Macaca mulatta: one gene and its partners. The protein of the gene in region 1 interacts with the protein of each later gene in a biochemical or structural test. Links are inferred from orthologs where the notes say so. Each region holds a gene or a part of one and is shown on either strand. Other genes may lie near its edges.

The links.
Region 2: the proteins of ZBTB16 (region 1) and HBEGF form a complex in vitro, tested with the Homo sapiens proteins (2 studies listed by BioGRID). The link is inferred for Macaca mulatta from reciprocal best matches to the Homo sapiens genes ZBTB16 and HBEGF.
Region 3: the proteins of ZBTB16 (region 1) and SIN3A form a complex in vitro, tested with the Homo sapiens proteins (3 studies listed by BioGRID). The link is inferred for Macaca mulatta from reciprocal best matches to the Homo sapiens genes ZBTB16 and SIN3A.

Annotation. Positions count from the first base shown.
Region 1 is NC_133419.1:114,807,374-114,811,120, forward strand, and holds the start of ZBTB16 (zinc finger and BTB domain-containing protein 16), read left to right. Parts: upstream 1-1,136; 5' UTR 1,137-1,305; exon of another isoform or gene 1,306-2,002; intron 2,003-2,789; exon of another isoform or gene 2,790-2,884; intron 2,885-3,747. UniProt on the Homo sapiens protein: Acts as a transcriptional repressor. Transcriptional repression may be mediated through recruitment of histone deacetylases to target promoters. May play a role in myeloid maturation and in the development and/or maintenance of other differentiated tissues.
Region 2 is NC_133411.1:149,204,494-149,208,240, reverse strand, and holds the start of HBEGF (proheparin-binding EGF-like growth factor precursor), read left to right. Parts: upstream 1-1,604; 5' UTR 1,605-1,863; coding exon 1,864-1,909; intron 1,910-2,106; coding exon 2,107-2,280; intron 2,281-3,747. UniProt on the Homo sapiens protein: Growth factor that mediates its effects via EGFR, ERBB2 and ERBB4. Required for normal cardiac valve formation and normal heart function. Promotes smooth muscle cell proliferation. May be involved in macrophage-mediated cellular proliferation.
Region 3 is NC_133412.1:53,412,437-53,415,565, forward strand, and holds the end of SIN3A (paired amphipathic helix protein Sin3a), read right to left. Parts: intron 1,763-3,129; coding exon 1,532-1,762; 3' UTR 533-1,531; downstream 1-532. UniProt on the Homo sapiens protein: Acts as a transcriptional repressor. Corepressor for REST. Interacts with MXI1 to repress MYC responsive genes and antagonize MYC oncogenic activities. Also interacts with MXD1-MAX heterodimers to repress transcription by tethering SIN3A to DNA.

The DNA of each region.
Region 1 (3,747 bases):
ACCTCTGGCACCCTACCTTCGCTGAGCTCCAGGGAAAAGAGGAGAGGGCAGCTTTCTGCAGTCAGAGGAAGGGTACATTTTCTTTGGCCTCTCTACCCTCTAAAGCAGGACGGCCCGCTGAAGGAGGACGCACTTCTGAGGGGCCCAGAGCTTTTCCAAGTTTTCCCCTGCCCCCTGAAGACTGTGCACTGAGCTGGGCGCAGTTGTCGGAAACTGTTTGCACCCAGATTGCTGGGGGTCGGGGGTCGGGTGCGGGCAGAGCCGAGAGGCTGTCCAAGTCTGAGAGAGAGAAAAGTTTCTCCCAGGACTCGACCTTGGCCTCCAGCAATCGCGACAGCTAAAAAGGGACGTCTCGCTTCGACAACAGATCTCGCGGACCTTCTGGCACCTGGTTCACCAGGACCCTCGAACTCTGCCTCGGGAGACTTCTTGAAATCCGGATGCTCAAGCCGGGAGGCGCGCAGTAGCCAGAAGGATGAGAGGCCCGGGTTTGGACTAGGAAAGCGGCCTTTTGAAACAGATGTCAGGGGCTACTGGGAATGCAGCCCAGAGCCATGAGAAAAAAGTTAAAGGCGAGATGACACACACTGAATTGGGGCAAACATTGGAAGAGGGGACAAAACTGCGTGCTTGAGCACCGGGGTGCGGGGGAGGGGGGACAAAACTCGTATCCAATGGAAATTAAAATCTTGGGAGGAGGTGGGGGCTCCTGCGCGCCCTTCACCCTCAGTTCCCCTATTAAGGATTCCGCGTCCCCTGCACGCCTGTCTTCTAGCTCCTTCCTTCCTCTCCGCTCGGCCGGTGAGCGGCGGCCGCCAGCGCCCCAGCAGCAGCTAGATGTCAGGCGAAGCCCGGAGCGCGGAGCGCGGGGAAGGGAGGGGAAGGGAGGGGAGGGGAAAGGAGAGGTGGGGCGGGGAGCGCGCGCGGGCTCGGCCAGTGCGGGGTGGTGGGCGGGCTGAGCCCGAGGACGGCGCGGGAGGGGGGAGGGAAGGGGGGCAGCTGTGGGCAGGGAGCCGGGCTCGGCCGCCAGCACTAAAGATGGAGAGGCGCCGGGGCCTTGCAGGGGAGGGGGCTCGGCGTTGACGTGGGACGCGGCGGAGGCGCAGCAGCCGGTGGTGATTTGCTAACCTCGCAGCAGAGAGGAGTTGAGGGCGATGAGAGCGGGTACTGCGAACTGCCGGGCGATGCTGTCGCTGCCGCCTTGATACGGAGAGCAACAGTTCCCCAGCAACACCCCTCCCCGACACAGGCACACACCCCCCGACAGGCACGCACACCCACCCCACAGTGCCCGGCTCGGCTGCGGTGAGTGAGGGGCCGGGAAGAGGCGCACCGCCGAGCGAGCGCCGCGCGCCGGGGCTCCCCGGGGCTGGAGAGGTCTGGGGGGCGCGCGCTCGCTTCGGCCACTCGGCCGCTGGGCTTGTGCCTTTTTTATTTGGCGTGTTCCCTTCCTGCCGCTGCAGCCGTCGCCGCAACCGGTTGGGGGTCGGCTAGAAGGGGGAGCCCCGGCTGTCAGCCTGGGCACAGCTGCCTCCCCAGCCCTTCCTCTCCAGGGCACGGTCGGGGTGAGAGGTGGGGGGCGTAGCGGTCTGCGGGGGCTGAGGGCGTGAGCAGAGGGTCGGGGATCCGGAGGCTTTGTACCGCCAGGGGCCAGCGGAGGAACAGAGCCCGTGGGTGCTCTTATGTATGCGGACCGGTGCGCGGGCGCGAGATAGGGTTGTGGTTTATTTATTTGTGTGTCTATTCGCCGGCCGGCTGGGAAGCTAGAATCGGAGGAGCTGACGAGTAGATCTGGGGGCGGAGGGGAACAGGACTGGGACTGCTTATGTTTTGTTTCTGTTTGAAAAAACGTGGTGGGCTTTTTATTGATTGGACTTGATCCCCCCCTTTTGCAGGGGAGGGAGGGAAGCTCCAGAGGGTCTCCAGCGCTCCGGGCCCTCCTCGGCTCTCGACGGGACCGGCGGTGACACCGGAGCTCGCCGTGCGCTCCCGGCCGCTCTCGGTGGGTGCGGGTCTCTGCACCTGATGCGTTCGGGATGCCTTTCCCACCCTGGCGCGCCCGCCGCTAGCTCGCACAGCGCGTCGCACACGCCCGCACGCGCTTGAAATGCGCAGGGTCCCGCCGGCCCACGGACCCACTGGGACGCACGGAGCGCTCCGCACCGACTCGCTCGCCGCCTCCGCGAGACGCTCGCACGGTGCCTCGGACGGGCGCGCCGGCCGCTGGCGCCGCTGGCCAGAGGCCGGGGACCCAGCCGGTCGCTTCCCGGGGGTCACGGCCCTGGGTCGGAGAGGGAGGGCGGGCAGACCCCTTCTCGCCTTTCCTCCTACAACTCGTTTGCGGGGCTTTTGTGCTTCCCCTTCGCCGCGGGGCGGGTCCGCCTCCCTGCTGCTCTCCCCGCGGAGTCCAGCCCGCCCGGACTGTCGCCTTTTTTCCCAGTCTCTTTCGCTTTCCCTCGTCCCTAGCCCAGCTCTTCATCTTTCAGGCGTCTAGCTCCTCGGGAAAAGTTGCTTCCCCAAGTTTGCTGAAGTCGTCTCCAAGTCTCGGTGGGGGGTCGCTGGGAACTGGAGGCGTGTGAGAGCACGGTCGATCCCCGGAGCTCAGGCGGGTTATCGCCGGTTCTTCCCCGCGCCGCCCGGCTGGACGCTGCAGCCAGCGCCGGCCGGATCGCGGGCGCCGAGCGGCGGGTGGGGAAGACGGCTGCCCGTGGGCGCCCCGATTTCCCTCAGGACCCAAAGGGCTTGTTTTGGGGCGCCAAGCTTCCATTCTTTTGGCTGTTCCCTCCTAGTTCTCAGAAGCCCCGGTGTCTGCGGGAAAGCACGCGGTGGCCAGGCTCTGCTGAATGTTCATCCCACCCTTGACGGCCTCCGTCCCCACCCCGGGGTAGGCAACAAAAGTGTCTTGACCAGCCATCCTGTGAATCCTTTCTGCGTGAGCTTGGTGGCTCCTGAACTGATAGAGCTTCTTTTGGGGGTGGAGGCAAGCAAGCAGTGTTCGAAGAGTGAGGGAGAGACCTTGCTGTTCCTTGCTCTCAGTGCATTCACTGCAATATTGGTCGCTGCAAGGCAGACACGGGGAGGGCCCTGGGCCTGCGCGGTCTTTCTAACACTCGTTAAGCGGGGTTTGGAGTCTAGGAGCCCTCTTATTGATCCCGAACAGGCTCTGGGAGAGGCCTTTGTTTCCCAGCCCTGTCTTCCCTTCGTACTGGTTGTAACTCACACCACAGATGCTGGTGCCAATATCACTTCCAGCGCCTCTGAGCCATGTCCGGCATCCCTTGCTGCCCCTGGTCACAGGACTTGCAGACTCCTTGGAGCCTGTGGGACACACGTGGAGTTCACACACCCAGCCCAGCATGAGCGCTCCTGGCTGTAGGGGAGCATATTTACTGTGGTCTCTCTCCATACCTTAATGATCCATCCTTCTTCGTTTTTTAGATCCTCCTGTCCACCGGGCAGTTGTGGGCAGGACGGTAGGTACGGCCCCTTATATAAGTGTGTGTGTGTGTATGTAAAGACACACACACACGCTTTTTTTTTTTTTTTTTCTGAGACGGAGTTTTGCTGTTGTTGCCCAGGCTGGAGCGCAATGGCACAATCTCGGCTCACCGCAACCTCCGCCTCCCGGGTTCAAGGGATTCTCCTGCCTCAGCCTCGCTAGTAGCTGGGATTACAGGCGGGTGCCACCGCGCCTGGCTAATTTTGTATGTTTTGTAGAGACGGGGCTTCTCCACGTTGGTCAGGCTG
Region 2 (3,747 bases), on another chromosome or scaffold:
CGGTGACCATGCACTGAGGTCCTAGGCCCGATACTGATCACCCAAAAGGATAATCTAACAGTGGCTCTTAGCCAAATAGGTGACAGGTGAGCTTCCATCTGAAACCAGCCCAACTATACCATAAAGCCTCAGATCTGGCCTGGGGAAGGCAAGGGATCTAGGGAAGGGAGAGAAAAGAGGCCTCTAAGGAAATAGAGTGGTCAAGTGATTAGTGATTATTATTAACAGCAACAATAATAATGAGTCACATTTATTGAAAGCTTATAGTGTGCCTGGCACTATACTACTTTTATGTGTTCCTGCATTCATTTCTCAAAAAGCTCCCTACAAAGTAGTCATTATTATTATTGTTATTATTTTTTCCATTTGAGAGATGTCAAAACTGAGGCTCAGTGAAATTAAGTTTCTTGTCCAAGGTCACACAGTAAGTAGCAAAGGCAGGATTCAAACTCAGGTCTGTAGTGATTCCAGTGCACTATGGAAACCTAGGCCTGGGTTACTGGAGCAAGTTAAGAGGGCAGGGCCAGACTGACCCCTGCAAAGGTGGGGATAGGGAAGGACAGTGGGATAGACTGTGTATAAATAGCAGGCCTGTTTTTATCCCTACACACAGGCAGAATCAGGCAAGTGCTCTATCTGGCACAATTTCAGGGCTCTGAAAGCCAACCCAGCCCTATGTCAAACAACTCTCGCCCCAGCCACGTCCCTGGAAACTGAAATACCTACTGAGAGACTCATCTCTTTGGTCAGGACAGTGACTCCAGAAGACCCCTGTAAAAGCACATGGGTTGGAAGAGAAACACCTGGTGCCTGTGAACCAGCAATCTAGGTTAGCCAGCTGGGTCCTATGGGAGGGAGGCTCATTTTTTATGTTGAGGAAAAAGATGGCAGTCAAAGGCAAGGAAAAGAATAAGGCTTGTTTCACAACCTGTGTCTCTCCAATTTCAGAAGCCTGGGAATTACAACCCATAGTTCAAAAATCTTAATGTCCCCTGAGGGAAGATGGGAGGAAGCCACTCCAGCGACTGGTAGAGTACTAGCTTCCTTTGCTTTTGCTAAGTGCCTGCAGCTTCAACTCTGGTTATCTCGGGTTTATGAGAACGGCTGGCATTCATGTGTCTAATTTTTACATGATAAATGAATTAATTATTATCTGATACTTGCCGTGTTGGTAGGCCAAAAGGTGGGCTTCTGAAACTTAGAGGGTGACAGGGATGGAGACCCCTGGTATGGAGCTGAGACGAAGCAAGAGGCCAGGCCCGGAACAGAACTCAGCTCAGCAGTCAGTCACAAGGCTGCAGAGCGACAGGCGTTTGGGGAAAGGTAGGAACCTCTCCCCGCCACCTGCCGGTCAGCAGCCCTACCCACAATTAGGCCGCGGCTGCCTCGGCCTGGTCCCAAAAAATGTGAGCGCCGCCCCCTCCTCCCGCCCAGTCCCCCGCCGCGCCCGCGGGGTCGGGGGCTGAGCTGCCGGCGCCGCCAGCCGGGCGAGCTTCCCAGCACGGGAGGAGGGAGGGGGCGGCGCCGGGAGGGGCGGAGCTTCGGCGCCTCCCGGAGCCTTATTCCCGGCCGCGCGCCGGGCAGCGCTCATTCGGCCGAAGGAGCTACGCGGGCCACGCTGCTGGCTGGCCTGACCTAGGCGCGCGGGGTCGGGCGGCCGCGCGGGCGGGCGGAGTGACCAAGACAGACACTCAACAAGAGCGAGCTGCGCCGGGGTCCCGGCCAGGCTTGCACGCAGAAGCCGGCGGCAGACGGTGCCCAGCGGAATCTCCTGAGTCCCACCGCCCAGCTCCGGTGCCAGCGCCCAGTGGCCGCCGCTTCGAAAGTGATTGGTGCCTCGCCGCCTCCTCTCGGTGCGGGACCATGAAGCTGCTGCCGTCGGTGGTGCTGAAGCTCCTTCTGGCTGCAGGTAGGAGGGCTGCGACGCCCCTGGAGATCGGGGGGATGGGGGCGCTGTGCTGGGGGCATGGGGGAAGGTCGCCGCAGCGCACCCGGCACGGGCCACTTGGTGGGGCCCTTGCGCTCTGGCGGACCGGCGTCGGCATCGGTGCGTGTTGGTCGGGGGTCTGGGCGGGTGTCTGATGCGGCCTGGCCCCTCGCCCACAGTTCTTTCGGCACTGGTGACTGGCGAGAGCCTGCAGCAGCTTCGGAGAGGGCTAGCTGCTGGAACCAGCAACCCGGACCCTTCCACTGGATCCACGGACCAGCTGCTACGCCTAGGAGGCGGCCGGGATCGGAAAGTCCGTGACTTGCAAGAGGCAGATCTGGACCTTTTGAGAGGTGGGTGTGGAGGCCGCCCATCCTCGGACCCGGGTGGGCTGTTGAAGAATAAGCAGATCCAAGATTCTTGCTGTTTGGGCAATACTGCGGGTTGAGAGTATTCATGGAGAACCTCGGGGAAAAGCTGATCGGCCTGAAGGGCACTGGGGGATCCTGGAATATAGGTCCCACTCTCTCTGTTGTCATTGCCTCCCCTGCTGGGTTGCCGCCCTTCTGGGTACTTTGGGGCAAACTGAAACAGGCAAGTTGTCTGGGGTCCTTACGTGCTTCTTGGGTAAGCTGAGTGATAGGAACAAGGAATGGTTGAGATGCTTTCCCTAGAGCTACTATGTAAAAATGGGCACCAGTTCTAATTCCCTCATCAAATGACTATTGTATATAAAATAGAGGTAACAGATGCGGAGATGCCCAGGCACTTCTATAGAAAGTGTGCAGTGTTAGCCTCCTCCATCCACCTGTCTCCAGATTGGGGAAACAGAGAGGAATGAGGAGCTCTTGGCTGCCCTAGGTGAGGCTGTGAATGGTGAACGCTGGGCCTCTAGGGGGCTGTATTAAAATGCTGGGTATCTCTGAATGCTACCGGAAACCTGCAGGCTTACTGAGCACCTTGCTTTCCTGAGGCGACTCCAAATGGGGAGGGCTGTGTAGAATCCTCCAACCAGCCTCTTTGGCTGTAGCCAAGCACAGGCACAGGGCAGAGTCCAGAGCCTGCCAGCTCTCCTGCCTCCAGACCTGAGGAGATTATCCAGGGTAGAGCAAGGACTCAGCACTGTACCACGGAATGACTATATTTGGTTGGACAGATGCCCACCTGTTCTAGCTCAACCTGCTCCTCAGCTGCCCTTCTCCCGCCTTCCCAGGAGCTTCCCTTGGGTATTCTCTCTACTTTGTATAAATCAAACACATGCTCCAAAACTGAGCCTAGGCTCCCATACTTCATCCTCTCCCAGCAGCCCTCTGGGGTTGCCCATGGCCTGAACAGCCTGGATTCTCCTGGCCCTCTCCTCCTAGGCTGGGCAGGGCTGGGCTGTGACTCACCCCACCCCCACCCCCCACCCACATGGCTGCTCCTCATACCTCTGCAGACCTGACTCACTGCTCCCTGTCCATGGCTGGAGCCTGGCTGTCACCCTGCACCTTCTCCCTCCCCTTTCTGATTGGCTTGGCCCCCCTGCCTTACTCTCCCCGAAGCTCTGGTCACTGGGTTCCTCTGACCACCTATATCGTCTTCTGAGCTCTGAAGGGGCCTGGGACTGGATGAGAGGAAATGAAGGACTGTGGGGCTGCTGGCACCTACTTCTTTTTCTTTCCTTCTCTTGGCTTTACTGGGCAAAGACTACTTTTCAGGTCTGGGGATCCTACCACCTAAAATAAATGACTGCTACCATTTATTAAATTCCTACTGTGTTCTACGCACTTGATATGTTATCCTGGCTAATGTAACACTTATAGCAACCTTTTGAGATA
Region 3 (3,129 bases), on another chromosome or scaffold:
TTCAGAAAGTCCAGGTTAACCACATAGAAAAATTCTAATCATTCATGTTTAAATGCTAGTTTAAATTTATGTAATTAAAAAAATAGGTATCCCATTTCAAATTCTCTCCCTCCCAACCCCATTTATAAGGTATACCACATGCCTTATACACACTTTTTTTCAAATACTGGTTTGGTATTTAAGTTGCTCACCCCCATCCATCACCAATGTGAATAAGAAAAAATATATAGAAATACAAACTACATAGCTTGACAACTTACCCAAATATAAAATATTTTCAGATAGTTGAACAAGGGGAAAAAACATGTACTAAAAGACTGAAGTATTCTAAGATTTTGGAATATTTTGATTTGGAACAAGTAACAAGTATTTAAAGCAAAATCCTGTTTCTACCCTGGATAAGGAACTGAAACCAAAATCCCTGCTTCACAGTATTTTCTGGTGAGGACAAGGGACGTGGGTTGAGAGTTTATTCCTTAAGTAAGAACCAAGCTTTATTTATTTACAAAAAAAAAAAAAAAAAAAAAAAAAAGTTGGGGGCAAAGGGGAAGACAAGTTTTACACAAAAGTACTACAATGGTAACTCCCTTTGGTAAAAAGTGTAATAAATGTCTTGTACATCTGTTCATAGGTACTAAATCTGAAGCCACATAGTACTATGGTACACAAGAAGCTAGAGCAATTATGCTAGCACATCAAAGCATATTTCTTTTAATAAAAAATTGACAGTATGTACATTATGTACAAAAAAACAAGTTAAAATCGTGTGTGTGTGCATGTGTGTGTCAGAGAGTAAAGCTGGTGGATGGCACTAGGGTAGACTAGTAAAGAGGCAGATACAAAACAGTTCCACGGGAGCTAAAAAGGACGACTGATTTGAACTCGTTGAGGTTGAGAACCAAAGGAAAGGGTAGGCAGCAAGGGATTCGTCAGGAATAAAATCCACAAGATGATCAATCCCAAAGCCAAACTGCAGGTCCCAGATAAAACCTAATGGGTGATCTTAGATGTGCTCAAGTGACCAGAAAAAAAAAAATCAAATCCAGTTTTTTTTTTTTTTTCCTTTTGTGGGGAGGGGAGAGGAGCAGTGACCATGATAGTTCCAATCCATCTGAGTATTAAGTCCTTCCCCAGTCTGTTTTGTAAATGCATCTCCATCCAGTCAAAAGTGTGAACAGCATCCGGTTCCCTCACTGAAAGTTAGGCCACAGGAGACTCCAGTCTTAGCTCTGCTGGTGTGTGCAAGCAAACTGCACGTCTTTGCTTGCAAGGACTTCCTTCCCCTCCAGGGCAGGCTATACCCAAAACCCTTTGGAAAAGTTCCAGCTTCAGCTTTGTAAGGTATTCATGTTCCTAACAGGTAGCCCACTTGGTGCCAGGCTGCACCAGCCACACACAGGTCAGGTGGCCATGTCCCAGAGAGGCCCAGTGAGGCTTGAAAGGCATCTTCCTTGTTTCTTCAGTGTGTGAATGCATAGGCCTACACACACACCCCCACACACACCCCAAGTTATCTGCTCTGGCTTTGCAGTTAAGGGGCTTTGAATACTGTGCCGTATTTGACACGATACTTGTTAATGCTCACAAAATGCAGGGTCTCTGTATCACAGGTGGTGGTACAGGGCACCAGGCCCTCCAGCCCCTCACCCATGAGCCACTTGCTGGTCTCTGCTGCCATTTCACGGGGCACATGCTCCTTGGTCCATTTATCTACCCAGGCCTGGAATCTCTGATGTAGACGCTTGCTTACACGCTCATGGGACTGCAAAACAGAAAAAAAATATTTTTTATTAAATGAAGCAGAACCAAAAAAGAGCCCTTCAAATACAAAGCCTAATCTTCTTCTAAAGGAGCAAAGGAGAGATTGGGCTCAAGTCTTAGATACTGTTTTTGTTTTTCTTTTTAAAAAAAAAAAAAAAAAAGCTTCTCTGTTTACAGAGAAGTTAAAGTAGTAAGAACATAGAACATGTGAGGGCATGAAAATCCATAACGCCTCCAAAGAAATGTGAACACAGGCTCTGGGCTGAAAAAGCTCAGTGTTCTCAATTTTAGCATGCATTAGTATAACCTAGGGAATGTGTTAAAAAGACACATTTCCGACGAGGCGCAGTGACTCACGCCTGTAATCCTAGTACTCTGGGAGGCCGAGGCAGGCAGTTCGCTTGAGCTCAGGAGTTTGAGACCAGCCTGGGCAACATGACAAAACCCCATCTCTACAAAAATACAAAACTTAATCGGGCATGGTGACACAATCCTGTAGTCCCAGCTACTCGGTAGGCTGAAGTGGGAGGACCGCTTGAGCTGGGAGGTGGAGGTTGCAGCGAGCTGAGATCGTACCACCGCTCCCCAGCCTTGATGGCAGAGCCAAACCCTGTCTCCAAAAACAAACATACAAAAAACCCAAAACCCCACATTTCCTTGGTTTTACCAATCTGCTCTAATGTATCCTGGGTAGGACCCAGTGAGCCACTGATCACTTCTATCAGCATGGAGATCGACTTCTAAGCCAGATAGTGCAAAGCAAAGGGCTTAAAACCCACTCTCCCTCCATTGTGTTACCCCACCCTGGCAAGCAGAGTCCAGGCTTGCCAGATCTTCTGCAGGGGGTTCTGTTCCCACCAACACACCCAGTAAAAATTTATTGGTGACCACATGCAAGGATACTAGAAGAGATACAAAAACAAAACTGCTGTTGCCCAGTGTCCCAAATAATGTGAATCAGAGACAGGCAGACACACACACATAGCAAAAAAAATTTGTCAGGCGTGGTGGTGCACACCTGTAATCCCAGCTACTCGAAAGGCTGAGGCAAGAGAATCTCTTGAACCCGGGAGACAGAGGATGCAGTGAGCTGAGATCATGCCACTGCGCTTCCCTCCACGCCATGAGAGAAGTACAGCAGACTCTTGAATAACACGGCTTTGAATGGCACAGGGCCACTGATAGGCAAGTTTTCTTCCACCTCTGCCAACCCCGAGACAGCAAAACCAACCCCTCCCCTTCCTCCTCCCTCTTCAGCCTACTCAACAAGATGAGAATGAGGACCCTTTATGATGAGCCACATCCACTTAATGAAGAGTAAATATATTTTCTCTTGCATATGACTTAACATTTTCTTTTCTCTAACTT